4 linked regions of the Notamacropus eugenii genome follow. The protein of the gene in region 1 interacts with the protein of each later gene in a pairwise test. Links are inferred from orthologs where the notes say so. Each region holds a gene or a part of one and is shown in the gene's direction. Other genes may lie near its edges.

Region 1 (7,316 bases):
TAACAACCTGTGTAGTCCATGGTCAGACCTGTGTAGTCACATGTGGAAGGGGAAAGTCTGCCAGTCAGTCCAGTTGGCTGGCTGATGACCATTCTTATTAAGACATTATGGAGATTTTAGGCCATTGTGAGCCTCCAGCTGAGGAAGGCCATAGATGCTTATGGTGTTCTCTTACCACCCATGGCTTTCAGAAGTTCTAGGGCATTGTAGCTAGTTTGCCTCAGTGGGAGTGAGGGCTGTTGTAGGGCCTTCTGGAGAGAAGAAAGAGCCCTTCCCTTGATGTGGAGTCAGGAAATCCTGAGGCTCTCTCAACTTGTGAAGCTGGCCCAGACATTCCCCCTACATCCTCCACCCCCAAGGTTCTCTCACAGTTACAGTGACCGTGGCCATCTCCCTGAATCTCAGTTTTCTTACCTTTGAAAGGAGGAAGATACCTGGGGACCACCCTGTCTTCCCTTACTCCCCAAATTGTGACTAGAAAAGTGCTTAGTAAGCCTGCCTGCCCTGTAGAAACCAATAACTGGAGGATGCCCCTTTCTTTGGACTAGGCACTGTGTCTCCTGGGGACTTTGCCTTCAAAATCTCAGTGCTGAACGGTACTCTGAACACCACCCCCCATACTTTCCTAATGTCTCCGCAGGCAGGGCCTGGATATCTGCAGTTGGCCCCCAGACCCCCAGGGAGTCGGGGCTCCTCAGCCTCTCTGGTAGGTGTCTCCCCTCCCGCTCCCCCCTGAAGAGGCTGGCCGGTGGAGTCCCAAAGGCAGGAACTTATATGGTTCCCTTTGCAGCAACCCCCTCTCCCGCAGCCGTTGGGCCCAGCGCTGGATTCCCCACTGCACCGAAGCGAGGATACCGACGTGAGTCCCGGGGGCCTTGAGCAGCGGAGGTGGCCAAGGTGCGGGTGGGACAGAGCCCTGCACCTCCTCGGGCGGGTTCTGAGAAGAGAGAGCCACTTCTGACCTAGGCCTGGCCCCTTTTGGCCCGCAGGCGCTCCTCACTAAGCTTTGCGGGCAGGACCGGCTCTGGAGGAGGCTGATGGAGGAGACAGCCAAGAACCAGGAGGAGAAGGTGGGGGGGGGGGGGGCGGGCACTGGGAGAGCTGAGGGCTGGGCAGGGGCAGCAAGGTGCAAGGGGGGCACTGAGGAGCATGAGGGTGCATGGTGAGGGGCACAGTGAGAGCTAGGGTCCAGGAGGGCATCCAATGTAGCCAAGGAGAGGTGAAGTCTAAGGGGCAGGGGATGTGAAATCTAAGGGGAAGGGGGCACAAAGGCACTAGGAGGTTGGCTTCCTGTATCCCCTCTAACCATCCTCCCTTCCTCCACCACAGGAACGGCTGGAAGCAGCCCTGGAGCTGACTCGCCGGGCTGTGGGGGAGCCTGGGCCAGGGACCAGAGCCTGGTCTCGCCTACGGCTGCTGCAGGACCGCCTGGTGGGCGTCAGAGCTGCGCTGTGCCACCTGGCCCAGGTAGGGGGCCCAACTGAACTCTACAAAGACCATCCTACTTTGAGGCTACTAACCACTCATGGGAAATGTAGTCCTTTCTGACCCTGGCCAGCTCTGCCTTCTTAGGGGTTTCTGGCATTCCTAGCCTTCAGCATCCTGGGTGAGGGTCCCAGGAGCCAAATCAGAGAAATAGGTGGGGGGAGGGGAGTTTACCAGAGCTCATCTCCCTTTTTTCCTGTCCTTGGAGGAAAGGGAGAGGGTTTGGAAGACCTACAGCAGCCTGGAGCAAGAGCTGGGAACTCTACGGGAGACCCTAGAGGATCTGCTGCACCTTGGGCCTCCTCAGGTACTGCCAAATGCCAAGCCTCCGCCGACTCCCTCTCCCTCAGCAGCTCCAAGCCCCTTCCCAAAATCTATTCAAGCCCCACCCCTCCTGCCAGAGCTTCTCTTCTCCGCTGCCCACCTCCCAACGCTTAACTCTTGCAGGCCAGGGTCTCTGCCCAGCAGCAGCTATGGATGGTAGAGGACACACTGGCTGGACTCGGGGATCGGAGTTGGGGTCATCCCCATGGGGATGGAGATGAAGATGGGCCTGGTGCCCCACCAGGTGAGATACGCCCTTTAGAGTCCCCCAGCCTTCCTCATGTCCAGTACAACCTTCTTCTGTACTCCCCTCAGGTCCTGGATCACCCAGCTCTCCCCGGACCCAAAGTCCAGATGGCCAGTGTTCTCCATCCCCTGCCCCATCTCCATCCCCACCATTACCAACTGGGCCTAAGGTAGGAATCCCAGGAAGATTCCAGGCTTTTGTAGAGACATCAGGATCTGAGATATTGGCTCAGCTGCTTTTGGTTCCTGGCTATCTCTGGGCCTTAGTCTATAAAATGAGGGGATTGGACCTAAACTGCAAATCTCTTCTGTCCTGTGACCTGAATCCCCAGGGTCCCTGGAGTTTAGGAGTTCTTGTCTTTTCCTGCCCTCTGTCTGCAGGCTCCAGCCTCCCGGGTCAGGATGAGTGCACAGGAGCAACTGGAGAGAATGCGTAGGCACCAAGAGGTGGGGAGGCTAAGGCTCCGGCCACTCTCTCCAGGGGGCCAGACAGCCCTTCCCTCAGCAGTTGGAAGGCAGCTGGAGCCTGGGTCAGAGAGAGAGGGGGTGAGTCTTGGGTTTGGCTTGGAATAGGCTAGACTAGGGGCAGGGGGAGAACTAGAGGAGCCAAATCTCATCTCAATAGAACCAAGGCTGGGAGTTAGACATCTAACTATGGCCCCTATTCCTTGGAACGATCCAGCAATTTACATTCTGGTATCTCTTCTCTTAGCCTGTCCTGGATTCCATGGGCCATACAGGAGCTCCTCAGCAGAGGGTCCGGAGTTCTGGGTCCTGGAGCAGGTAAGAAATTTGGGCTAAGTGGAAGAGGACAGTGGCCCCTGGCACCCAAGTCACAGAACCTGGCCCCAAGACTCTAATCTCTTCCTCCAGTTGCTATGTAATGTTCCTCTTCCCTAAGCCTCAATTTCCCCATCAGTGAAATGAAGGCATGTTGGACTCAATGACATTTAAGAGTCTATCCCCTCTACGAAAGCTCTGGCCCCAACTTTCCCAGTCTTTTCTGCTGGGGAAAGGCAACACAGCTGACTTCAGCCTGGTGTGATACAATAATACAGCATGTATGAAGTTCCTACTGCGTGTCAGGGGTGACAGAATGAACAAGCGCAGGCTCTCAAGAGGCTGGGAGGTATGAATTGGAAGCCTGGGTTCAAATTTTGACGGCCAGTTAGCTGTAATCTATGCGATCCTAGGTAGGTCACATCCCTTTCGCCTCCCATCCCCTTGACTCCTCTGCACGGGTGTAAATAAAGGTACACTCCCCTTCTAAGCCTGGGGGACAGGGGGACTCTAAATGACAGTGCCCTCGATCCCCGGGCCCCTTTAAATCGTCTTGTAGCTTGGCCGACCGAACTCGCTGATCCCCCCCTCCCCGCGTTTGCAGCTCTCGGAGTTCCCGGTCCTACGTGCCGTCCCCAGAAGGACATCGGGAAAGGGTCCTCAGCCTGTCCCACGCCCTGGCGACTGAGGCTTCGCACTGGCAGAAGTTTATCGCAGGTCAGCACCGGGGCAAAGGGGGGCCTCGTGGGAACTGTAGTTGGAAGATCGAGCCCTTGCTCCGGACTCCTGGGTCCCGAGGCCGGGCGGCTCAAATACTGGGCCCGCGGGTGGACCGGTCCATTCTGATTCTCCGCAGCCCGGAGCCCAGAACAACCTCCAGACTCCACTTCCAGGCTGTCTCCGCCCCCTCGCTCACCTCCCATAGGGTCCCCGCCTCCCGCGGGGCGGGGCCGAGGAGGCCCCACCTCCTGGGCCCCCACGTGGGGAGGGGCGGCTCCGCCAGAGGAGGGGGCGTGGCCTCTGCGAGTCACGCTGCTCCAGTCCAGTTTCTGAGCCGGCGGCCGAGCTGCAGACAGTTGGAGGCGAAGCGTGCGGGGCCTGGGGGGTCTCGGACGACCGTCCCTCCCTCCATCCCTCCTTTCCATGTCAGTCTTTATTAAACTCGCTTGTGATCACTCAGTCCTGGCTCCTTCCTCCTTTCCTTCTGGGGGCTGAAGCAGGGGGAGGGCCCTTCCAGCTCCTCTCCGGTCTTTTGGAGGCCGGAACTACATCTCCCAGTAAGCTGTGGGGCGTTTTCGGCCGTCGGACTTGCTCCTCTGCTCGCGGGACCTGATGGGAATTGTAGTTTTTTGGCTTTCCCTAACCCGTGGACGGAGGGAGGGTGCTATCCTCCAGGAGCCTGGGCGGCGTTGTGGAAGGAGGCTCCTAGATCTCCCAGGTTGTGGCCTGGGCCAAGGTCTCATCGATCCATCCTCGTAGGAGCGATTAGAAGAGGGGTCTAGGGTTGTGGGCAGAGGGAAGGGGAGGGAGGAAAGGAAGAAGGTGGGTGGACCTAAAAGGGGCCAGTGGTGCTGGGCCAACCCTGTGCCAACCCGGACTCGAGCTCTAACCTCGACGCTGGCAGTGGCTGAGGGCCGGACACACCGGAGTGAGGTCAATCGTCCGACTTGAGGCCAGTGGTCCCGGGGGCTGGACATGGCTGCGGGTCCGTGCAGCGAGGTGCCGGTGGTCTTGGTGACCGGCGGTGCTCGGGGTATAGGCGCTGGCATCGTGCGCGCCTTCGGTGAGCCTGAACTTGGGGAGAAGGGGATGTCCCCGGGCCCCCATAATCCGGGCTGATGGGCTCTCAGACTCGGGGTGGTGACCTAGATCCGATAGCCCGACTTGGACTTGGTGGAGAGGTGGCACGGTTAGGTAAAATAGCCTGGGGTGGGTCCCCAGGAGAATTGACAAAGGAGGATTTAGGGAAAGGAGACGCTTTGGATTCTTGCAGTGGGAGCCTTAGGGGAAGGGCTATAGGAAAGAGCCGCCCACGTCCCTGGGGACGTTGTGCCCAAGGCTGAAACTGCTCTTTGCCCGAGTTGTCACGGGAAGACGGGAAGGTCTGGGGCCAGCAGTGTTGAGGTTTGACGGTGCTGGGACTCCGAAACAGGAACACGCCCGGTCCTGCCCGAATTCTCGACCCAAGCCTTCCTTCAACCGAAGAAAAACTGTTTATTTTTAAAATTAATTTATTTGTCTTCAGTTTTATCCAATCACTTCTGTTAGTCTTAGATTTTCTCCCCTTCCCTACCTCTCCCTCCCCGAGATGGCAAGCAATCTTATATGGGTTCTACACATACGTAGAAAAACAGTTTATTAAAGATCCACCATATCGGCTGGACTCTTAAGGAATCTCGGCGTTGTCTAGCTGCTTAAGGAATCTGAACATCTGTATCGCTGTTGCCAGCAGGCAAGATTGAGTCTGAGCGCCTTCATGGATCTTATAGACTGTGGGCACCATCCAGGTTGGTCAAGTAGTGTGGGGTGATGGGAGGAGGGGTCCAAGGAGGATCTTGATAGGATTGGGGTCAGACTCCAGAAACCAAGAAAATAATGAGAAGTAACTGAAGGCTACCTGGAGATAACAGACAATGAAGGGCTAGGCTAGGTTAAGGGTAACAGATTTGGGCTCAGTGATAATGGAAAGCTTGTAGTCTCAGGCGACTCCCAGATCAAGTGGAAAGATTTGTGGAGAATTCAAGGGGGCTTCCAGAGCCTATAACCTGTCATTCCCCCCTCAAACAAATGGCACCCAAATTCTTTAGGGGTAAGGGGCAAAGGTCTCAGCTTCCTGCTGGCAAGGGGAGTAGAGGTGTCCTAGCCTCACTGAGTCCTGTTCAAAGGGTACATAGCCTTTGCAGTCATCTGAAAGTTGATGACTTGAACCAAAGTTGGAAGGAGGTTAAGTAAACAAGGATGAAACAGGCACAAAAGGAGCAGAGGTTTGAAAGGGGAGTTTTTTTTTTTGCTGTCAAACATTTACTCTTTTATTTTCCTGAAGCTCTAGGGCTCTGGTGGGTGCTTTCTGCCTTCTGGGCAGCAGTCCCAGGGGGGCAGGGATCTGACCTCTGGTGTGGTGGAGACTATTTCATACCTAAATCTCCTAACCCCTTATTCTGTGTACCACACTGCTTCAGGCTCTGGAGTGTGTGGCACACTCAAAGAATTAAGTCAGAGGTACCAAGAGCAATGCTTGAGATTTGCTGAGCCTGTGGCTGGCCAGCCACCTGTGGCCCTCTGCTTCCAAGATGCTCTGAATTCCATGGGGAGTCAGAACTTCCAGGGGCTGGCCAAGTGTAAGTTTAGAGGCAACTTCAGTTAGAATGGCCCACAGCAAGCACCAAGTCTAATTTTTTTGAAAAATAGGCAGCAGGCCTGGGGTTAGGTCCTAAGGACTGGGTTAGGACTCCCAAAGCCTGTCTTCTCCTTTCTTCAACATACTAAGTGAAAGATTTTTCTAGATTGGGGAGAGCTTATGAGGGAGTGGTGATTAATTTAGTTTTCAAAGTCTCAGAAGCTTCTGGAAGGAGTGAGTCAGGCCTTGAGTAGTAATTAATGGTTGCAGTCCCTCCAGGCCTTGGGCTTAATTAGCTATTGTCCTTCATTCTGAAAGAGGAATAGGACATCAAGATGATCATGTGACCTGCAGCTGACTTTGGTTTGAGTGAGGGAGGGTTGTGTAGGTCATCAGCCTCACTTTCTCCTCCTGAGCCATCTGGATCCAGTGGCCTGATATTCATCAGGATGACTGGAGATGGCCCAGGATGCAATGGGAGACCCTGGCCCTTTCAGGATAATTAGCTATTGACTGCCTGGGGGACCACTGTGGTCTTCAAAGTGAGCAAAGGCTGGAGTGGCATGAGAAGCTGGCCCAGGAGTCCCCAGATCCCAAATAATTGGCCTGTCTTCCACACTTCTGGGGGAACATGGCAGGGGGTGTCTGATGAATGATGGGAAAAGGGAATTTTAACTAGAGAAAATTGACTCCCTGATTTCGCCATTAGGTCCCTTCTCAACAAGGGGGCAGGACCAGAGGAGAGCATAAGGAAGGAGTATTCAAACAGATTCTCAAGTAGGCAGGGGAGGGGTATGTCTCATGATGTCCCTTAATTTCTCGTTTGATGCCCATAACCCTACAGGGGAGGGCCAGAAGAATTGGTTGAAACAGACTGGAGTCATGATAAAGTGGATAGTCTTACCTTTGGCCTTGATTTTTTCCCAGGGCTTGGTGAGACAGGTGGAGAAAGTGGAGGGGTGTCATTCCCAGTCTTGAGAAGATTGGAGGACAGTGCACTGGGGGTGGCTCCACCACCTTTCCAACCTTGGGGGGGGGGGGGGCGGGGACAATCCTTCCAGTGTCTCCTCCCCCCATCCCCACATGGACATGGTCCCAGAGGTGTCAGTTCCAGACACTCCCTCTGGGGGGGGTGCCCTGTAGG
Region 2 (7,461 bases), on another chromosome or scaffold:
CTACCATATGCTTCTGCCTTCTTGTTCAGTCATTTCAGTCATGTCTGACTTGTTGTGATGGTACTTGGGGTTTCTTGGCAAAGATATTGGAATGTTTTGCTATTTTCTTTTCCACTCATTTTGTAGATGAGGAGACTGAGACAAACAGAGTCTTGCCTAAGGTCACACATTTAGCGAGTGTCTGAGGCCAGATTTGAACTCAGAAACTTCTGGCACTATAATCCACTGTACCACCTCTCATAACTTATGTCTTACAGTAGCTATTAATGACTAACAAAGGTTAGACAGAGGAAGATGGACTCAATTCTTCACTATTACCCAGAGGTGGTTGCCATCCCTTGGGGCAGGAACTCTTGGTTCTCTCTAGGATCAGGTGTTCAGAAAGGGAAACAGAGAGGTAAACAACAGCTAGGAACCCTGAGGTTAAGGAGCTCTTCTTTGTATGACTGAGGCAAGCACATGCAGCTCAACCACTATATGCTTCTGATAAAAATCAGCCATTAATCAATCGATTAATTAACATTTATTAAATACCTACTATTTGCCAAGCACTGTCCTGAGCACTGGGGAAACAAAAAGAGGCAAAAGACAGTCCCTGATCTCAAGGAGATCACAATCTAATGGACAACTCCTTTGGATGGGGATGAAACTCCCTTTCCTCTGCTTCACCCTGAAAGAAACGCACAAGAAAAAGGAGAAAAAGCTAAAAAGAAGAAAGAGTGGAACCCCTGCTCTCTTTTATAGGTACAAAGGAGGTCCCAGAGAAAGTGCTGGTAAAGATTTAACAACTGGCTCTCTGAGAAACCTGTACCCATGACACAGTTGTAAGTATAATCTGTACTATTAACCATTTTTACTTTCTTAAGTCTAGAGAAAAACACAGTATCTCAAGCTCTGCTTTCTATCCTTTTGCTAATTTCTGAGGCAGAAATGCTCACACTGAAAATTTAACAACGGAGCAGTGGATAGAGTGCCAAACCTGGAGTTAGGAAGACTCATCTTTGTGAGTTCAAATTTTGCCTCAGACGGTTACTAGCTGTGTGATCCTGGGCAAATCAGTTGACCCTGTTTGCCTCAGTTTTCTCATCTGTAAAATGAGCTGGAGAAGAAAATGGAAAACCACTCAAGTATCTTTGCCAAGAAAACCCCAAATGGGGTCCCAAAGAGGTAGTCACCACTGAAATGACTGCACAACAAAAGTCCGTATGAGCAGACTCCTAGACAACTAAATATAACTTCTGTCCCTGAAACCCATACCCTATGAAGCTCTAAGAAATGGTTACAAAGTAACTAATTGATCTTGGGACAATATTTATCACTGAGAAGTAGGAGGGATCTGAGTCTAAAAGCATTTATTATGCACTAGCAGCTAGGTGGTGCAGTGGATAGAGCACTAGTGCAGGAGTCGGAAGGACCTGAGTTCAAATGTCACCTCAGACACTTGATACTCACTAGCTGTGTGACCTTGGACAAGGCACTTAACACCAATTGCCTCATCCTTTGTCATCTCCAGTCATCTTGATGAATATCTGGTCACTGGATTCAGACAGCTCTTGAGGAGAAGTGAGGCTGGTGACCTGTACAGCCCTCCCTCACTCAAAGTCAAGTACGAGTCATGTCATTATTTCTCTGATGACATGGTCTTCTTTGGCAATGAAGGATGAATCCACTGTTGTGTTATTGGGGATATGAAGAAAGGCAAAAAACATTCCCTGTTCTCAAGGAGCTCACATTCTAAGGGGGAAGACAACATGCAAACACTTGTGTATGAATAAAATATCTAAGGGATAAATTTTATACACACACATTATATCTATATATCTATATCTATATATACATAAGGCACTAGCATTAAGGGGGATGGGAAAGATTCCTGGTAGAAAGGGCAATTTTAGCTAGGAATTGAAGGAAGCCAGACAAGTGGGAAGACAGAGATGAACTCCAAGAGAGAATTATTGGGGATAGCCAGTGAAAATAAATGGAGTCAGGAGATGGAGTGTTTTGCTGGAGGAACAGAAAGGAGGTTGGACCCAAGGGTAAGTGAAATAAAGTAAAATGTAAGAAGACTGGACAGGCAAGAAGAGTCTTGGTTATGAAGGTCTTTAAAAACGATCAGAGGGTTTTGTATTTGAATCTGGAAGTCATGGGAAACTACTTAAGTTTTTGTCCTCTTAACAAGATGTCAGTGTGAATATCCATATTCTCTATGGTGAGGTGCTTATCAAATGTTATAAATAAAGGCTTTCTGGACTTTGTGACCATAAGTAAATCAATTAACCTCTCATTGACCTCTGCAATTTTTTAAGACCATAAGATGCAGGAAAGTACTAACCTGACTTTGTGGAGGGAATTTCCTCATCCGGGAGTTTCCTATACCATTAGTGTCAAATTCAAAAAGAATCAGATCTCTGTAGATTACATATGAACTTAGAAACCCAATGATCCATAAGCTCTATTGTATTTTTTATTAATTTTGTTAAACAAGTCTCAATTACATTTTAATCTAGTTCTCCCAGTCATTTTGTCAGCTTCTTTCCAGGTTCATCTTGCTGGGAGTTTGACACCTTTATCCTATACCAATAAAATTATGGGGTTCAGTTCCCAGCTCTATAAAATTCAACATAATGGGATTGAACAATGAAAATGTGTAATTTATTGGAATCTGAGGGAAATTATTAGATTGAACTTTATGTCTGCAAAAATTTTTACAGACATTTTATTAGTTACTTCTAACCACCTTATTATACAGATTTGTTTTGTTACTGCCAGATTTTAAGAAACTAAGGTTTAAGGAGTGTACAAAGCTATTAAAAACCCACAGTAAGAACCTGAATTTTCAGTCCAGATATTTTTCTGTTGTTCAGCCTTTTGAGTTATGTGGTTAACTCTACCATCTCTTTGTTAAGGTGAGAAAGGGATGGTACTCATGACTGAAACTTAAGCCTAAAGTTAATAAGGTCAATATTCATCTATTTTATTAACACCTTGGCTAGAACATCTAAAAAGGGCAGAATGTACTGGTTTGGATTTTGCTTCCTATTCATCTTACCCATTCACTAAAGAATTTCCTAATAGCTAATTGAGTGGCCTGCAAGTGGGTAGCAGAAGATAGTAGGGAGGCTGAAATCCCATAAGCCAAACCCTGAATGATCAAAGCTTAAGAGTTCATAAGGATACTCGGTGTTTTACATAAGACCACTGAAATTCTTACCCGTAGAAATCTGAAGTTGTTATTCCTGCACACTCTCTTATGAAAATGTAGCTAGCCAGAATAAGGATTGTTGAATAGGACCCTTAAGGGAGAAAGAAGAGGCCTGAAGTCATTAATGCTGGCGTAGGAAGCAGATTTTAAGAGGTAATAATGTCACTACTGTGGAACATGAAAGTTCCTGTTAGTTACGCAATGTGTACATTTCATTATTCACATGATTTCACTAGGTGATTATGGAGCTGTGTACATAGCAAGTCCTGACTGTAGCACGGTCACAGCCTCTGAAAATAAAATGAAATATAATTCTATCACTCATGTCTTTGCACCAGGGCTATCCATGAAGAATATTTCCCTAAATTATGACCCATTTTCCAGTTTAATTTATTTTTTGAAAGTCATTAAATTGTTTTCACAATCCATAAAGTCCTTGGATATACTTTGTTTCCAAAATTTCTACTCTGCATATGAAAATGAAGCGCCAGATAATGAAAATCCTGGAGGGGGAAACAATTCATTTTAACAAATATTTTTAAAATACCTTCTATTCCAAATTGCTTTTTATGCAGTTATAAAGCTCTCTTGTTTACCCTTTTCTCTCCTAGAGATGATGGGGGTTTTGGTGAATGTCTGAGGGTAACCCTGTTCTATTTCTTTGATATTCCAAAGAAAGGTTCAACTGCAGTTTCTGATGTATTAGACTATTTACTTATTCCTTCCTGCGCTCTTTCTTCAGGGATTATTTCTGAGAAGTAGGAGGCAGTATGGTAGGAGACAAAGACTGGTTCTGGAGTGACAGGAACTGGGTTCAGATTCTGATTTTGTTACAATGTATTACCTTGGGCAAGCCATCTAAACTTGCAAAATCTAGTAGTTCTATAACTGAGCACTAGGTGACCCTTAGGTAGGGACCTATCAGTTCAAGATCTATGATTCTATTATTGATATTTCTCCATTAGTTAGTCAATAAACATTATCAAGCACCTATTAATAAGTCACTGAAGTGCTACGGTACCTGTTAGCTGGTCTCAGGGTTGGCCAGAAGTTTAACTGTTATGGGAGATGTGTGCATGGGCAGTGAGCCAAGAGTCTTTATGGTGAGGGAAGAATTTCTAATAAAAAATAAGGAAAAAAACCCCCTCCAAAGCATTAGAGTGTTCTTTCATTTCAGTCAGTACTGTACTAGCACCCCCATGGGATGTTTCCTGATAATCTTTCCACTCCCAGGGCAAAGAGACTTATTAAGACTTACCTCTTTTGGAATACATGCTCCACCCCCAGTGAATTGTACTTCGCAGTTTCTCTAGTCTAGCTTTATGGTTCTAAGTTATATAAAGTAGGGCTTTAGACGCACGCTCTCACAGTCTGCACAACAAACCTCGGGCTCTGGCAGCTACACACAGACACACGAACGCGCGCACTCACACTCAGGAGTACAACGCAAGGGAACACACACACACACACACACACACACACGCACACACGCACACACGCACACACACACATTCAGAGCTGGGAAGTTCGTGCTGCCTCACTGGTCAGCAGAGAACAACAGGCTTTCTCGAAAGTCAGGACCGCCAGCCCGGAGAGAGGAAGGTGCGGACAAGCTGCCCATGGCTGACTTGAGTTTCATTGAAGATTCGGAACCCTACACGGGAAAGGAGGAAGATGATGAAGAGGAAGAGGAGGAGGGTGTGGAGTGGGGTTACGAGGAAGGTAATAGAAAGCCCTGCACGGAGTTGGGTTATCATGGTTAGGAACAAATCTGACAAATGTCCAGGCTGTGGCGGTTCGGGCGCTGTTCACCCTCCGTGTGGCCCTGGGGTCTTTTAGGCAGGAGGGCGCGGTGGGGTGGGGGTCGGCGGGGCTGCTGGCGGTGGCGAGGACAGCTGGCACTGGGCAGCCTGGCAGCGCCTAGCGGAGACTGACGGGTGCGGGAGAGCGGCGGGGAGCGCCGAGGCAGCAGCTCCGCTCCTCCGCCTCCTGCTGTCGCTTGCTCCGGGCTGAGACCTGAGACCTTGCCCTTGGTCCCTGAGGGAAGCCTCTGAGAGCGCCCATCCAGCTGGGCTGCCTGTCCCTAGCACCTCGCCGGAGTCCCTACTGCCCTTCCAGCAGGGACCCACCTCAAACCTGTGGCCTGATTTTCATTGTAGCTGCGACGGAATATAATTTTTGAGGATTTGTTGGAGGCAGAAAAGCTTTTCCACCTTCGAGACGAGTTTTTGATCTTCTTCCTTTTCTGGTTTCCTGAATTCTCCCCTCCTCCCCATTGACTCCTGCACCTCAAAAAGTGATACTTCATTATTTGGCTATGCTTGCCTGCACCCCCACAAGTCCCTTCCCGTACCACCCCGCCCCCTCCCATTATCACTATATAAACTTGATCTGTATAGAAATCTAACCGGGGAGGCAACACACGAACACATTCTGTAGTTAGTCTAATTTACTTCAACAGCTGCTGTTCTTTTTGAACTAAGTTCTCAAGTTTTTGCTAGAAGATAGCATAGCTAGTGAGGGATATCTAATGATACAGAGTGTTGATGGTGCCCTGTTTCACCAAAGTCTTTAATTTAGACCAATCATCTTGACTTGAGAGCCAGTGAGGCATCATGGATAAAGAGCGGGACTGGCCAAGGAGTCAGAAAGACCTGTTCAAATTCTTTCTTAGACGTATTCATTCAGGCTGTGTAACCCAAGGCAAGTTACTTAACCTCTCTCTGCCCCAGATTACTCTACAAGTAGGAGTTGCTGATTTATATCCTTTTAAAAGTTAGGACCATAAAACCAAACTGGAATGTAACAAAATTAATGGTTTCAGAGTTATTTAAAACTGTTCTAGAGCAACTTTTACTGGACATTTTCAATGTTACATTAGTGAAATTTCACATTATCTTTATAAGCAATGCATTATGAGTACAATCAGCTCTTTCTATATGTCAGTTTCAAACTGAAAGTCTCTGAAATGCAGGAAGGCTTTCTCAGAAGTTTCTTTTTATACATTTAGGTCTGCTAATATTATTTTGAATGATTACTGATATGTAAATGCTTGTATTCACAAACTTACAAAATCTATAATTATGTCAGTTTAAAAAAGCATATAATGAATTTGTGTGATACATTTTTCACATTTGCACACATAGATACCACATATACATATATGTGTTATATATAAACTCACTAATATCAGTTATCATTTTCCATTTATCTTCAAAAGTGTTTTTAGCACCACACTTGCCAGTTCTATTTGTTCCACATTGAGCACTGTTGCTATTACCAGTGGTTTGTGATAGTTTAGTGTTTGTTGTCATTTTAAGATAAGTTTGCCTTCAAGCCACAAATCACATAATTATATCCACATGGTAAAAATAAAAGTATTGTATTGTGCTATAAATCAATTAAATGTTATGAGGTTTTGTGGTTTTTAATGAATGATTTGGGTAACATGGAATCTTTGCACTGTAGCTTTTTCAGAAAGCCAAATATTGCTTCAAAATCTAATGAAATGTATTTATTTCTTTTACCCATGTAATTGATCATAAAACAAGTTGTATCTTATTGGTGGAAGAAGTGTTAGGGTCATAAAACAGAAAACATAACTTTGATTTTTTGTTTCACACTTTTTATATGTATAACCTACAAAAAAAAAGACCACTTTATTTCAAGTTTATTATTTATTTTATTCTCAGGAGTTGAATGGGGCTTGGTATTTCCTGATGCTAATGGAGAATATCAATCTCCTATCAACTTGAATTCAAGAGAAGCCAGATATGATCCCTCACTGCTGGATGTTCGTCTATCTCCAAATTATGTGGTGTGTCGTGATTGTGAAGTCACTAATGATGGACACACGATTCAGATTGTTCTGAAATCAAAATCAGGTATTTAAAAACTTCCATTTCCTCTGCTCTCATCATTCAGTAAATTAAATTGTTGTTATTATGACCTACAAAATATGAATTGAAAAGCTTCTATGATAATAAGGTAGATAGGGTAACATTTCTATATTTTCTGGAAATATACTGATTTATCTTAGACATTATATTTCCTTTTCCTCAAAGACTATTATTAAACAAGGTTGTGAACACACATATATACACAAATAGGTACAAATATATGTGCGTATGTATATGCATATATATACATATATATGTATATATATATGTATATATATATATATACACACACACATACACACACATATCTCTATCTCTATGATTTTTTTTCCTGGAATCTTTTTAAAGAGAGTCATAGGA
Region 3 (6,929 bases), on another chromosome or scaffold:
GGTTAGGTTCACTGAAAGGCTTATTCCCCCCTTTCTTCTTTATTCTTTGTTATAAAGGATGACTCTTTGGGTGGAGGTGGGAGGGATGTTAGGAAATGAAGGTGGTATAAAAACCAAAGATATTAGTAAACTTTTTAAAAGAACTCTTCCCCTAGTCATAGCTGTAAAAGGCAGCTGATCTCATTCTCTTCTAATTTTTTTATGTCTTGACCTTTCATATTTAGAATGTATTACCATTTTGAGATTGTTATGATGATATATGTCAGACTAAATGTAATTTCTGCCAAACTTTCCAGAAATTATTGTCAAAGAGGGAGTTCTTCCCAAACGATTTATATTCTCAGGTTTATCTAACACTGGGTTGACTTAAATTCTTTCTTATTCTTCTTGATCTAATCTCTTCTACTGATCTACCTTTTAACGAGTACTAAATAGTTTTGATGATAACTATTTTATAGTCTAACTTGAGATCTGCAAGTATTATTTTCATCATCATTCTTACTTCTTTTTTTCATCATTTCCTTGAAATTCTAGACATTTTATTCTTCCAAATAAATTGCTATTATTTTGTCTAGCCCTGTAAAGTATCAACTAGGTAATGTGGCTGATATACCACTAAATCTGAAAATTAATTTTGGTATTATAATTTTTAGTATATTCGTTCAGTCCAACCATGATTATACAGATATAGCTATACATTTATGGACATATACATAACTATTTTTTGTTCAATTGTTTCAGTCATGTCTGACTCTTCATGACTCCCTTTGGGATTTTCTTGGTAAAGACAATGGAGTGGTTTGCCACTTTCTTCTCCAGCTCACTTTACAGATGAGAAACTGAAGCAAACAGTGTTAGATGACTTGTCCAAGGTCATACAGTTATAACATCTGAGTCAGAATTTGAACTCATGAAGAGGAGTCTTTGATTCCAAACCCAGTACTTTATCTACTGCACCACCTAGCTGCCCATACATATTACACACACATACACACACACACATATACATACACATATACACACTGTATGTATATATGTGTGTATATATATATATATATATATATATATATATATATACGAGCATTAGACTTGATGGGATCAAATTCCATAAAAAGACTTACTAATCATGAATATGGGCAGATCAGTTAATCTCTCTGGACCTCATTTTTCTCATTTGTAATACCGTATATAATACTTGTACTACCTAGATTATTGTGAGCTGTTACTGGATGTAGTATATCATTCACCAACATGTAGATTAAAGGGGTTAGGGAATATGGCATAGAAACAGGACCTATGAATATAGAGTAAGAGGCTAAGTGGTCATGAGAGGCATTTTAAGGACCCTAGAGAAATAGGGAAATCCCAAATTCCAAAATTCTCAGGAGTTTGCAAAGCATTCCCAGCGTGCTAGTGGGAAAGTCATATATTTAACCCCTTCCTTCTATCAACATTCAATCAATAAATATTTTTTGAGTATCTGCTCTATGAAAGAGACTATGAATGCATCCCTAATTTTACAGCTACTATTATAAAATATGGACAAAACAGATGTCACTTTAGAGATATATATGTTATAATTAAAATTTTTACAATTCAGCAAAAGATGTACTGGAAACTTTCACATAGGTCACAATAACCATAGAATATCAGAGGTTTAAAAAAAAAAAGACCTTAGGAATCATTGAGTCCAGAGCCCTTATTTTACAGAGGAAAAACACAAAGGCCTAGGATGTTAAGTGATTTGCTCAGTCCCAATACTCAACATAGGGTTCTGCTGTAAGGTGGATACTGATACCAAGGTGTGTTGGACTTTTGGGGCTTGGAATTCAACTTGATTCAAATCTATCCATCTCTTGCTATGTATGTCAGTGATCTATATATATAAGTATATATATGTATATATATACACACACATATATATGTGTATATGTGTATATATATATACATACAGACATATATACATATATCACTGTCCTGGGCCCAGGGGGCCCCGCCTTCCTGTGTGTGTAGAGATACATAGATGCAGACAGACAGATACATTGTATATGTCTTGATTCGTCATAACTATCATTTTCCTCAAGCAGGACTTACTGCTTTGGACACACGTGAGTCTCTGCCCTCCAGAAGCTTTAGGTCCAGCACAGGGTGGGGACCCTGCGGCCTACAGGTCACGTGGGCCTCGAGGTCCTCAAGAACGGCCCGTTGACTGAACCCAGACTTCACAGAACAAGTCCCCTTAATAAAAGGATTTGTTTGGTAAAACTTGGATTCCATCAAAAGGCCGCCCCCGAGGGCCCAGAAGGCCACAGGTTCCCCACCCCAGGGGGATTCTAAGTCCGGGCTTGGTCACTCACCAGCCCCGTGACCTTGGGGCCTAGCTCTCTTCCAATCGTTAACCCGGAGGGCCCGCCCCAGCACTGCCTTACCTCAGGGGGTTAAGGGAGAGCATCTTAAAGCGCCAGCCCGTATCCTCCCTCCCCCCTCCCCCGCCCCTAGTCCGTGAGGGGGCGGGGCTTGGGGGCGTGACTCCGCCCCCGGAGGGCGCCCGTATCCGACGTCGCGCAGCGATTGGTGGGACGTGAGCAGGAGGGTGGGCCGCGCATCTCGAGACCCGTCTAGGCCCAGATCCGGATCCGGCTCCTGCTCTGTCTCCGTCTCCGGATTCCCCGTAGGGGACACCTCCTCCCTCTCCTCTTCCTCCTCCTCCTCTTTCCGGGGTAAGAGGCCTAGCCCCTTGAGACCAGACGCCCGCCTCTAAGATTCTCCCTCCGGCACCCAGGCCCCCCCCCCCTCCCCCGCCATGTGGCCCTCTCCCCCAGGACGGGCCCTTCCGTTCATCTGCCCATCCGCCACCCCCTCCTCCCATCGCGTCTCTCCCCTTACCGCCTGACGCCATGCTTCTTCCCTTCCCTTCTCCTTCCTGCATCCGCAGCCTTCCTCCGCTCCCAAAGTCCGAGGCCTCTATCCCCGCGTTCCCGCACGCCCCTCCCCCAGCAGATCCCTCCCTCTATCGCCCCAACTCTGGCCCAGGCTCTCGGCAACGTTTCATTTCTCTCCGGGCCATCCTCCGTCAGTGGCCTATTCTCCTAAATCTTCCCTATCTTTTCTCACCGACCCCCTCCCCACCCAGAGTTCATCCCCAGGAGTCAGACCCTCGTACCCCAACCTTTTTTTCCTTCCGTTGAATTTCACCCCTCCCCTCCCCCACCCAGGTTCCTGCGTCATCCCGCCCCCCCTTTCTCTCCGCTCTCTAATGCCTCGCCATCAGCAGGCAGCATTATTCAGACAGCATTATACAGTTTACAAAGGGACTTGGAGCCAAAACTCGGCATTTCTGTGCCCGGCTTTTTTAGCTGTATAGCAGTGGGCACGTCACGTCCCTTTGAAATGCCAGTTGTGCCTGTAGGTGTGTGTGTGTGCCTTGGGGTCCTTGGGCAGGGTGGTGATGTCTGGAGAGCCCCTGTCAGAACAGTGTTGTTAGATGCATAAGCTAAAATACCAAGATTACAAAGAATCCAGTTAGGTTGACGTGTGTTCGTCCTTGGTCGGACGCAGAAGAAGACCATGCCGTTGGGGAAATGATGATGTGACTTTGTTTTGAGTGAGGGAGGGCTGGGCAGGTCACCAGCCTCATATATTAAGAGAAACCCCAACAGCAAACTTCGTATTAAGAACCACTGCTCTAGAAAATGGAGATGGATAATTCTTGAATCTTTTGGTGGTGGTGGTGTAATAATGAAATGTTTTGTCACCTTTAAGGTGGTATAGAAAGATGAATTACTGTTACTATTTCTCATAGATGAGGTTAGAGGCCACACGTGGTTATAACAACTCCTCCTGTGACCCCACAGTTAACCTACTGACCTTTATCCTAAGTTTTCCAGTGTCCGTTTTTCCTACAGGTGCTGGCCCACCGTTGGATGCTTGCATTGTCTTCTCCAGCATTACCCTGTGCCCTTGGCTTGCTTAGACCTGGGTGCTCTTCCATCATCTTCCCATGCCTGCATATTTAGGAAGGGAATGCCAGCTTTGAAGATGGCTCAGGTGAGTGGGGTTAGGAAATGCCTTGGCCTAAGCTCCTGAAACACGCAGAATAGCTTGTTAGAGCACATAAATTGAAACCTTAACCCCTGTGTGACTTTGGACAGAAAATCATATATTTGAACATGGAAGAGATTGTTTAGTCCAACACACATTCTGTGAGTGAAGAAAAACAAGCCAAGATGGATTTTGACTTGTTCAGGTTTAAACAGTTATTAAGAGTCTACATTAGAACCCAGGTCTCCTGTGTTCTAGCTTTGGGGTTGGGTTCATTGGCACTATTTGTTTTCTCTTCTTGCTCCTATTTTTTTTTTTTGTAAGTGATGGAGCTATTTTGTATTAACTTTAGAATCACAGAAGTTCAGAATGTGAAAGATGAGTTCCTAGATGATACTTCACACAACACGTTTTTATAGAGAAAGAAATGACATAAAAACCAGCAGGAGAGTGTTCTGATGTTCAGCCTCACTGCTCAGATAACATAGAATATGTGCAGAATGTACCTGGCAAGCAGCCAACCAGGCAAAGGTTTGTACGATCAGTGCAACAAAGTACAGATTTAGGATGACCAGAAATTATCTTTAACCTTTTTTTTTTAAAGTTCCCTCTCCTGCATACAGGAAGGCCCAAGAATTGGGCCTTTGCCCTTCGTTAAGTGAGACATGGCATGATCCCAGAGCTGAAGCTGGCCAAATAGGCACCTTTTCAAGGCATTTCCCTTCTCTGCACCTCAGCTTTCTCCTCTGAAAAATGAGGGAATTAGACTAGCTGATCTTGGAGATGATCTCCCATCTCTGGAATATTACCAGTGTCTGCCCATAGACCAGTAGGGAGTCAGTCAGTTTTTTACGAATTCTTTGGTTGAACATGAGAATGATTACAATAATGGTGTATTAAGTACCTATCATACAAGAGGAAAGTCTAGTGTGGGGATATAAGATGTTCACATAGATAAGTATTCTACAGATTTAAATAACATAAAAATAATAGGTACAGTTGAGGGAGAGAGTATACTTTATTGGACTGAAGAATAAACTATTATTATAGCTTACGCATGTATACCATTTTATAATTTACCAAATGCTTTCTTCACAACAGCCTGGTGACATAGATAGTATACACATTGCTATAATGACTAGATAATGATGAAATTCCCCTTAATAAATCTATATCCCTAAAATGTGATTTTTTAAAAAAAAGAGATCTTTGAAAAGAAAGACATAAGTATACACTTAAAAATAATGCCAATTACAGGCTTCAGTTGTGTTTTATATAAAACAGGTATTGGGGGAAAATGCTGTCTGTGTTTGAACTGGGATGGGTATTGGACAGATGGGATAAAGGAAGACCAAAGAGGGAATGTAACCTGTGTATTGTGACCTGGTGAGCTGATTAGGTCCAGAACTCAGGCCCCTGCACAGCCTCTGGCTTAATGAACTTGATTACAGATGGATTTGACTATGGTTTGAGTCCTGACAATGTTGGAAATGTCGCTAAGCCTGTTTTGAGGGTAAAGGCCTACTCGTGTTGGTGTTTGAGGCCACGGCATCTCCTATTTGTGGAAACAAAATTGTGGTTTCTGGTGTCACTGGCCTTAACTTCTGTCTTCCTAAAGGAGTCTGGAGAAGGGTGAGACACCTAGAGATCTAGTTTTAGTAGAAGAAAAGTAATTATAGCGAACCTTTCTATAGTGCCTTATGTTTACAAAACGTTTGCCTACTTTTATTCAAACAAGTATGTAAAGAAGGTGTTTCATTATTTTATCCCCATTTTACATATTGGGAAACTGAGAGCCACTTTAGAAAAATGAATAGGCCAGGGTGACACTAATAAGTGGTGGAACCAGGATGTGAACCCAAAAGTCTGGTACTTTTTACACTACTATAGTATTTCCTGCTTCCATTGGAGGTTGCAGATAAGAGAGATGGGATGTAATCTCTGTAAGGTACTTTATCCTGCTTCCATTAGATTGTGGGCTAAGAACAGCCACCTTCTGTTCTTTTATTAGTCTGATTTGAGCAACTCTTAGTGAAATTTGCATGTTCATAGCTGTGGCCTGGCCTATATTTGGAAGACTGTTGCTGAAGATTATTTGGTCTGGTTATCCACTCAGCACACTTACCTCTAGCTTGCAGGGCTTCCTGTGAGAGTGCACTAAACTTTACTGGTGCCACTGGACACATGAAGTCTAGTCTGTCCAAAGGTTATTAATACTGAGTTGGATTTGGCATCTTTTTATAACTTTCTATTTTCTGAACATTGACTAATGGGAAAGGTGAAGAAGGATGATGTCGAGGGTATGGGAGAGACTTTGAGTACTTTACAGTTTGTTATACTGGAAAGCATGTTGGCTTGCAAGACCTGGGTTCTAGTCCTAGTTTTTCCTCTTGTTAGATGTGTGACTGCAGGCAAATCACTTAATCTCCGAGTCTCAGTTTGTAAAAATGAAAGGGCTGATCTAAATAATCTCTAAGATAGAGACTAGCTTTGATATTTGATTCTGTGTTCTAACTTTTTTTTCCTAAGGTTTCTTACAGCTCTTACATTTTATGAATATTAGCTCTGTGATGGTACAGATTATTTTATTTCTGTCTTTATATCTCTAGTACCTAGCACAGTGCATTGTTCATAATTGGAACTTCATGCTTGAATTGAATTAAATTCTGTGTTGCAACAATCTGTATTCGTTCTAGGATCCTTTCCTGCTTTTAATTTCAGAAGAATACTCTGACACTCTGAAATGGACATTTATTTCACCTCTCTGAGCCTCAATTTTCTTTTTTGTTAAAAGGAAATAATAATACCTTCACTGCCTCACGTAGTGGTTGTGAAATAAGTGCTTTGCAAAAATGAAGCAAATTGAGTTGTTATTGTTAATGATCTGC
Region 4 (7,266 bases), on another chromosome or scaffold:
ATTTGCGTAATTCCAAATTGCTTTCCAAAGTAGTTGTGCCATTTCACAGCTCTACCAACAACGTTATTATGCCTATCTTCTCTTACTCCTGCCAACATTTACTGCCATTTTTTTTTTGTCATTTTTGTCAATTTACAGAGTGTGAGGTGAAACCTCAGAGTTATGCTGATTTGCATTTCTCTTATTGTGAATGATTTGGAGCATTTTTTTTCATGTGGTCATGAATATTTTGCAGTTCTTTTGAGAAATATTTGTTGATATCACTTCATTATATTTTGGGAAATGGCTAATACACTTACACACAAATATGTACCGTAGATATGTTGTTCAGTCATTTCTCAGTCATGTCCAACTCTTTGTGACTCCATTTGGAGTTCTCTTGGCAAAGATACTAGAGTGGTTTGCCATTTCCTTCCTCAGCTCATTTTACAGCTGAGGAAAATGAGGCAAATAGGGTTAAGTGACTTGCCCAGGACCACACAGCTAGTAAGTGTCTGAGACTAGATTTGAACTCATGAAGATGAATCTTCTTGACTCTAGGCTTGGCATTCTATCCACTGTGCCACCTAGCTCCCCTATACATACCTACATACATAAAATATACATATATACATATATGTATATACATATTAATTATTTATAAATCTTTCATACCAGACTCTTATCAGAGAAATCTGATATGAAGTTTTTTTTACATTCAACTATTCCCTTCTTATTCTAGATGCATTAATATTTTCTACGCAGAGGCTTTTCAGTTTCTTTTCTTTCAGGTTTTAAAACTCTTTATTTGTATAATAAAAATTGTACATTCAATAATTAAAATAATTTGAAAAAAATGACACTGATTAACTCCATTTTACAGCTTGCTAGAACCTTGGTACTGCTTTGCATTTTACTGCTAACTAGATTTTCTGTAGAGCCACCTCAGTTCTTCTAAGACTTTTCTGTTTCAAGTCATCAAAGCTATCCATTTTATCTTTTATAATTGGTTCCATCTCTTGTTTGATTAAGAATGCATCTTTTATCCATAGCTATAAAAGTTACATGATCTGTTTCTTTTCTAATTTTTTAATAGCATGATCTTTTATGTTAAGGTCATGTATCCATTTAAAATGTGTTGTAGTATGGGCTGTTGGTCTAAGCTTAATTTCTGCCATAGTGTTTTCCTATTTTCCCAGCAATTTTTATCAAATAGGGAGTTTTTCTATAGATAAGTTATGTTTTCCATTTTATCAAATACTGTGTTATTGAAATTCTATTTTTTCTGAATCTCCCTTATCTAGTCTGTTCCAACGATCTCTTCTTTAGTCAGTACCAAATAGTTTTGATGACTGCTGCTTCATCATATTATTTGAGGTCTAGAAGTGCTACTTCTAGAACTTTTCATCATTCCCTTAATATTCTAGATCTTTTGTTTTTCCAAATGAATTTTTTTATTTTATCAAGCTCTGTAAAATAGCCTCTTGATAATTTGATTGATACTAACATTAAAAGTACAAATTAATCTTGATAGTAATTGTCATTTTTATTATATTGGCATGGCCTAGACACAGGTATTTAATATTCTTATAGTTATTTAGGCTATTTTTTAATTCTTTAAGGAGTGCTTTGTAACTGAATCTATACAAGTCTTTTGTGTGCTTTGGGAAGTTGATCCTTAGATATTTTGTGCGTTTTTTAGTTATTAAGAATGGGATTTTTCCTTTTTATTATTGCTTCTTGTGTTTTGTTATTATTTTATGGAAATGCTGTTGATTTTTGAGGACTTATTTTGTAACCTACAAATTTGCTGAAGCTATTGTCTCAATTAGTATCTTTACTGATTCCCTGAGTTTTACCTCAGCAAACCATAATATCATCAGTGAGCAAGGATACTTTTATCTTCTCCTCACCTATCTTTACTTTCTCTTGCTACTGCCAGCATTTCTAGAAGTATATAATAGTGGGGAGAGTGGGCATCCCTTCTTCACTTCTGTATTTATTGGAAAAGATTCTCGTATATCCCCATTAGATATGATGGAAACTTTTGTGTTTAGATAAATTTTTTAATGATATTTTAAAAAGACCCCTATATGCCTATACTTTGTAGAGTTTTTCACATAAAAGGGTGTTTTACTTTGTCAGAGGCTTCTTCTGAATCTATTAAGATGATCATGTGGCTTTAGATGGTTTTTAATATGATTAACTAAATTAATTGTTTTCCTAATGTTAAATAATCTACACACCTGGTTGAAATTTCTACTTGATCATAATGAATGATTTCTTGGATAAATCATTGTAATCTGTTTAAAAGAATTTTGTTTAAAATTTTTGAATCAATGTTCTTTAATATCGGCTCATACTTTTCTTTCTGTGTTTTATCTGTCCCCAGCTTAGATATTAAGACTATGTTGGTCTCATAAAAGGATTCTGGTAGGGTTTTTTCTTTCTCAATTTTTGAGAATAATTTGTGAAATATAGGTACTAACTGTTCCTCAAAAGTTTAATGGCTTTGTCCTGTGAATTCATCGAGTGCAGGAGTATTTTTTTTCCTTTGGTAGTTCCTTTACAGTGTCAGCCGGATCCAAGTGACCTCTAATTTGCTGATGGCCAGAGCCCAACAGAGCAGGCTGGATTCAAGAGTGTCAAGAATTAAACAGAAATTTAATTTCAAAGTTAGGAAAATGGCTTGCAAGCAAGGAGGCAGATTAGATACATGTGTCAGGCTCCACTCCTAGCTGGGGAGGCAGCGTTGGGAGATCTCAGTATCACACCAAAGACCATGCAGTGAATTGTAGCCCTGGCAATGAGGGATAAGAGCAACAATGAAACAAGTTTAATTAACAGCAGGGCTCCATGACCAGAACATGGATACTTGTCCAAGTTCAGAGAACACCTGGTGCTGCTCAAAGCAATACAGTAACTACGAGACGTTCCTACTGCTCTCCTCCCACCACTACCCTAACCTCTTCTCGTTTGTTAGCCCTTTTCTCTTAGGGCTTTATTAGCTCCTCTCTTCTGCTTTTGTCTGGTCGTATATTTCTTCTCCTGCTTTTTTCCTTTCAGCCAGAAGATGCCCCCTTCTCCCTTTCATCCAAGTCATGCCTGTGATCCACGTGTGTCCTTCATTGCTCAGCTCTGGGACGTCTTCTCTCTCTCTTTTAGTTTGACTGATGATCTCCTCAGCTCCGATGGATTTAATTAACATCTCTTTGCTGATGACCCTCACATCCACCTTTCCTGTTCCCATCTCTCTGCTGACCTCCAATCTCCTATCTCCAATTGCCTTTCAGACATCTTGAACTGGATTTGCAACAGACATCTTAACCTCAGCATGGCCAAAACAGAACTCATTAGCTTTCCCCCAAATCTTCCATGTGGCTACCCCTTCCCTATTACTGTTGAAAGCAATGCCATCCTCTCAGTCCCTTAGGCTTGCAATCTAGAAGTCATCCTGGATTCATCTCATCCCCCATAGCCAATCTTTTGTTAAAGTCTGTTGATGTTACCTTTGCAACATCTCTCAAATATGCATCCTTTTCTCCTCTGCCACTGCTCATTGTGATGCAGGACCTCATCCCTCCCTACTCAGAAATAGCCTGTTGGTGGGCCTGCCTGCCTCAACTCTCTCATCATTCCGATCCATTGTTCCTTCAGATACCAAAGTGTATTTCCTAAAACATAGGTCTGCTCACATCACCACCTTACTCAATAAACTCCCATGGCTTCCTATTGCCTCCAAGAACAAAAACAAAATGTTCTATTTGGCATTTAAAGTCCTTTATAACCTAGCCTCCTCTTTCCACTCCAGTCTTCTTACACCTTACTCCCTGACACATATTCTTTGATCCAGGCACAATGGCCTCCTGCCTGTCGTCTCTCTGCTCTGAGCAGTCTCCCTGACTGACCCTCCTGCCTGAAATGTTCTCCCTCCTCCATTCCAACTCCTGACCTCCCTGGCTTCCTTTTTCAGTCTCAACTAAAATCCCTCTTCTTCAGGAAGCCAGTGCTTTCCCTCTTTTAATTATTTCCTATTTATCCTATATATAGCTTACCTTGTATCTATTTGTTTGCAAGTTGTCTTCCCCATCAAATTGTAAACTCCTTGAGGAGAGAGATTGTCTTTTTCCTCTTTTTGTATCCCCAGAGCTTATCAGTGACTGGAACATAGTAAGCACTTAATAAATGTTGCTTGATTGATTTTGAGACCTATGATCCTTAGACTGTCCCTATACATTCTGTATTTGAAATTCGCTTGTTTTGCTTTCATAGTAGGCATATTTTTTCTTTTAATATTCTTATTTTTCACTTCTCTTCTTTTAAACTGTGTTTCCCATCCGTGTGCGGGGTCATGACATATCTTACCACTATGTACTCCAGTGACTCTGGAGAAGACAGCTCTGCCTCACTTAAATCCAATTCATTCGCGAGTCAAGACAACACCCTTCTGACGTCATTGGTCCTCTTCCAGAACGCAGGACCACCACTGCCAACAAAACAACCCTCTCATGAGAAATGGGGAAACTGAAGCCCAGAGAAAGAGATGTAACAAGGAATTTTTGCATCTAGGCAAACAGCTGAAATATGCCTTCTGGGAGGCGGGGGGCGGGGCAGGACCTGTGTGTGTTTTGATGTCCCACCCTGTCTCTTGGGGACAGAAACTTGATCTTGGGAGTGTAAGAGAAATTATTGTAATTCTTGCTAACTAGGTGCTATTTCTAAGATGCGAGAGTGGTGCAGAGGTGACTTTGGAGTCCCATAGCCTAAATCTGAACTCTGTGACCTTGGAAAGTCAGCTAACATCTCTAGACCGCAGCTGCATCCCCTGTTCAATGAGGGGGTTGGCCCGGGTGACCCTCCCAAGTCTAGATCTTAGATGTCAGCTGGGGAGTCAGGAACCGGCCCCGTCCCCTGGGCCTTCCCTAGAAGCCGGCCGGCCGGTGGCTGCCGAGGGTGGACGCACACAACGTGACCCCGCCCCAGAGGATTTTTTTAACATCTAGAAGGCTTCACAAGAAGAAGAGGTCTGTGGGTAGGGAAGCTGGGGAGAGATGACACAGGGAAAGCCGAGGGCATTTTCCGGGATCAAAGTCGGCCAGCGCAATTCCCCCAGCGGGCCGCGGGGCCCACCCTGAGAACCGCTCCCACCCGACAGCTCCTCCCAATGCAGAGAACAATGCAATCCAAGGACACGCTCCCTAGGTTTTCTCCGCGGCGGACTGACGGGGCGGGGCAGGGCGGGCCAGCAGAGTTTTCTGGGAAATGTAGTGCCTCGTTCTTCTCCTCCGCCGGCTGAGCGGTTAGCTCTCAGTGCTGGAGAGGGGAGGGCGCTGCTCTAGACTACAAATCCCACCATGCCTTGCGCCCTCGGATGAGGTGGGCGTGGCGGCGGGAGGGGGGAGGGGTTGGGAACGCGGCTTTTGCGGAACAAGGAGCCGAGGAGAGCGGACATGGCTGCGGAAGGTGTCGGCGACGGCGGCTGCTCGTCCAGCGGTGGGGGCGGCTTCAGGTTCCCAGAATACGAGATACCGGAGCTGAACACGAAACCCTTCCTCGTGCGGGCCGTGGGGGACCTGTGGAAGGAGAGGCTTCTCGGGGTCCGTGACTTCTCCCTGGAGCCGCCTGCGCCCAGCAGCCTGGACGGGGCCGGAGCCGGCGAGGAAGATGCGGCCGTGGCCGAAGACCTGGGCTGCAGCCTGGAGACGGCGGCCGAGCTGAGCCTCGTGTGTGGGTGAGTGCTCAGGGCGGGCAGGAGGGTCCCCGTCTGAACTCCTGCTCTGCCCAGGCCCTCTTCCCACCCCCCTCTTTAGGACCGTCCTCGGACGCTTGTAAATGAAATAGGCCATTGAGGACAGTGGGGGGATGGGAGTGAACTAGAGGTGGGGAAGAAGGAAAGGGGGGGGGTATCCTTCAAAGAGACCTCAGAGACCAATCTTGCCTTTGTTATCGAGGAAGGTGCTTATCATGAAACAGTAGCAAAAGCTGATAAAGGAAACCTTTGGATGATGGACAAGTCCGGGAGGGAGGAGCTGGCGGAAATGTAATGGAAAGAGCACTGGAATTGGAATCAGATCGGTCAACCTTTAGTTAGTGCCTGCTATGTGCCGGGCAATTGTCCTCGGCGCTGGGGTTACAGAAAGAGGCTGCCTTCAAGGATTAAGATCCCGAATAATGGGGGAGACAAATCAGTGGATCTGGGTTTAGATCTCAGTTCCTAGGTGACCCTGGGCAAGTCTTTCACCTCTCTGGGCCTCATTGCCTCTGTTAAAATGAGGAGGTTGGATTGAAGTTCCCTTCTGGCCATGATTCTTGTCATCTCTGTGAATCCTACAATCTGCAACATTGTATCACAGATACCAGTTTTGAGAGTTTCTTTGTGGTGGAAATGCTGCTTAGTATCTTCTTACTGATGGTATCTTTGGTCAGTTTCCCTCACGTTCCTGCAAGAAAAGAACCTTTCTGAGAAAGAAAAAGACTTGATCTCATATTGCTACTCACGGTATTGGAAAACTAGAAATAGTCGTGTTCAAATTTGGCCTCAGACATTTGGCAGCAGTGTGACCCTGGGCAAGGCTGTGTTTGCCTCAGTTTCTTCAACTGTAAAATAGGGATAATAATAGCGCCCCTCTCCCTGGGTTGTCGTGAGGATCAGATAACACTTGTGAAGTGCTTAGTTAGCACAGTTTCTGGCATAGGGTACTAATGCTGTATAGATATTAGCTGTTATTGTTATCAGCTAATATCTTCTTAAGGAAGGTTTGTTTAATGGATAGAATGTTAAGCCTACCAGTTACATCTAGTGTTCATTTCACAGTAACTGTACCAAAAATATTTCATTGAATGAAGTTGTCTATTGTGATATCACAATTCTTTAACCTTACTTTTTAATTTCACCTGAATAGACCAGGATGGTTAGCTCATTGGTTAAAAAAAATTTTAAGTTATTGCATTTCCATCTATAGCCTGGATAAGTTGAAGTACTGTGAAGAGGAGGATGATCCAGAAGTCATTCCTGAAGACACCAGCCTAGTGACTTTGGGGTATAGTAGACTTTGATTTTTAAAAGTTCATTTATTATGTAGTAAAGTTACTTAATACACACAGTACTTCAATAAGACTAATGTGAAAATGTTTAATAGGAATGTACATGTGAAGTCTATATCAGATTGCAGGCTCTCTGGGGAGGGAGGGGGAAAATTAAAAACTTATGGAAGTAAATGTTGAAAACTAAAAATAATTAGCTTAATACACACAGTACTGTAATACAAAATATTTGCATGATAAGGT

The links.
Region 2: the proteins of HSD17B14 (region 1) and CA8 interact in binary tests that used the Homo sapiens proteins (3 or more experiments, as listed by UniProt). The two-hybrid records come from large-scale screens. The link is inferred for Notamacropus eugenii from reciprocal best matches to the Homo sapiens genes HSD17B14 and CA8.
Region 3: the proteins of HSD17B14 (region 1) and MPG interact in binary tests that used the Homo sapiens proteins (3 or more experiments, as listed by UniProt). The two-hybrid records come from large-scale screens. The link is inferred for Notamacropus eugenii from reciprocal best matches to the Homo sapiens genes HSD17B14 and MPG.
Region 4: the proteins of HSD17B14 (region 1) and SNAPC3 interact in binary tests that used the Homo sapiens proteins (3 or more experiments, as listed by UniProt). The two-hybrid records come from large-scale screens. The link is inferred for Notamacropus eugenii from reciprocal best matches to the Homo sapiens genes HSD17B14 and SNAPC3.

What each region holds. Positions count from the first base shown.
Region 1 is NC_092876.1:12,640,937-12,648,252, forward strand, and holds the start of HSD17B14 (L-fucose dehydrogenase), read left to right. Parts: upstream 1-4,296; 5' UTR 4,297-4,530; coding exon 4,531-4,618; intron 4,619-5,226; exon of another isoform or gene 5,227-5,311; coding exon of another isoform or gene 5,312-5,342; intron 5,343-5,373; exon of another isoform or gene 5,374-6,948; coding exon of another isoform or gene 6,949-6,949; intron 6,950-7,316. Other genes in the region: PLEKHA4 (pleckstrin homology domain-containing family A member 4), read left to right, coding at 641-706, 791-859, 990-1,070, 1,330-1,467, 1,694-1,792, 1,933-2,053, 2,125-2,225, 2,437-2,601 and 3 more. UniProt on the Homo sapiens protein: Catalyzes the NAD(+)-dependent oxidation of L-fucose, yielding L-fucono-1,5-lactone, which rapidly converts spontaneously to L-fucone-1,4-lactone. Can also act on D-arabinose and L-galactose, with lower catalytic efficiency. Does not use NADPH.
Region 2 is NC_092875.1:279,396,045-279,403,505, reverse strand, and holds the start of CA8 (carbonic anhydrase-related protein), read left to right. Parts: upstream 1-4,444; 5' UTR 4,445-4,821; coding exon 4,822-4,924; intron 4,925-6,894; coding exon 6,895-7,086; intron 7,087-7,461. UniProt on the Homo sapiens protein: Does not have a carbonic anhydrase catalytic activity.
Region 3 is NC_092872.1:55,219,181-55,226,109, reverse strand, and holds the start of MPG (DNA-3-methyladenine glycosylase), read left to right. Parts: upstream 1-3,917; 5' UTR 3,918-4,023; coding exon 4,024-4,047; intron 4,048-6,929. UniProt on the Homo sapiens protein: Hydrolysis of the deoxyribose N-glycosidic bond to excise 3-methyladenine, and 7-methylguanine from the damaged DNA polymer formed by alkylation lesions.
Region 4 is NC_092872.1:27,901,054-27,908,319, reverse strand, and holds the start of SNAPC3 (snRNA-activating protein complex subunit 3), read left to right. Parts: upstream 1-4,265; 5' UTR 4,266-5,429; coding exon 5,430-5,710; intron 5,711-6,941; coding exon 6,942-7,019; intron 7,020-7,266.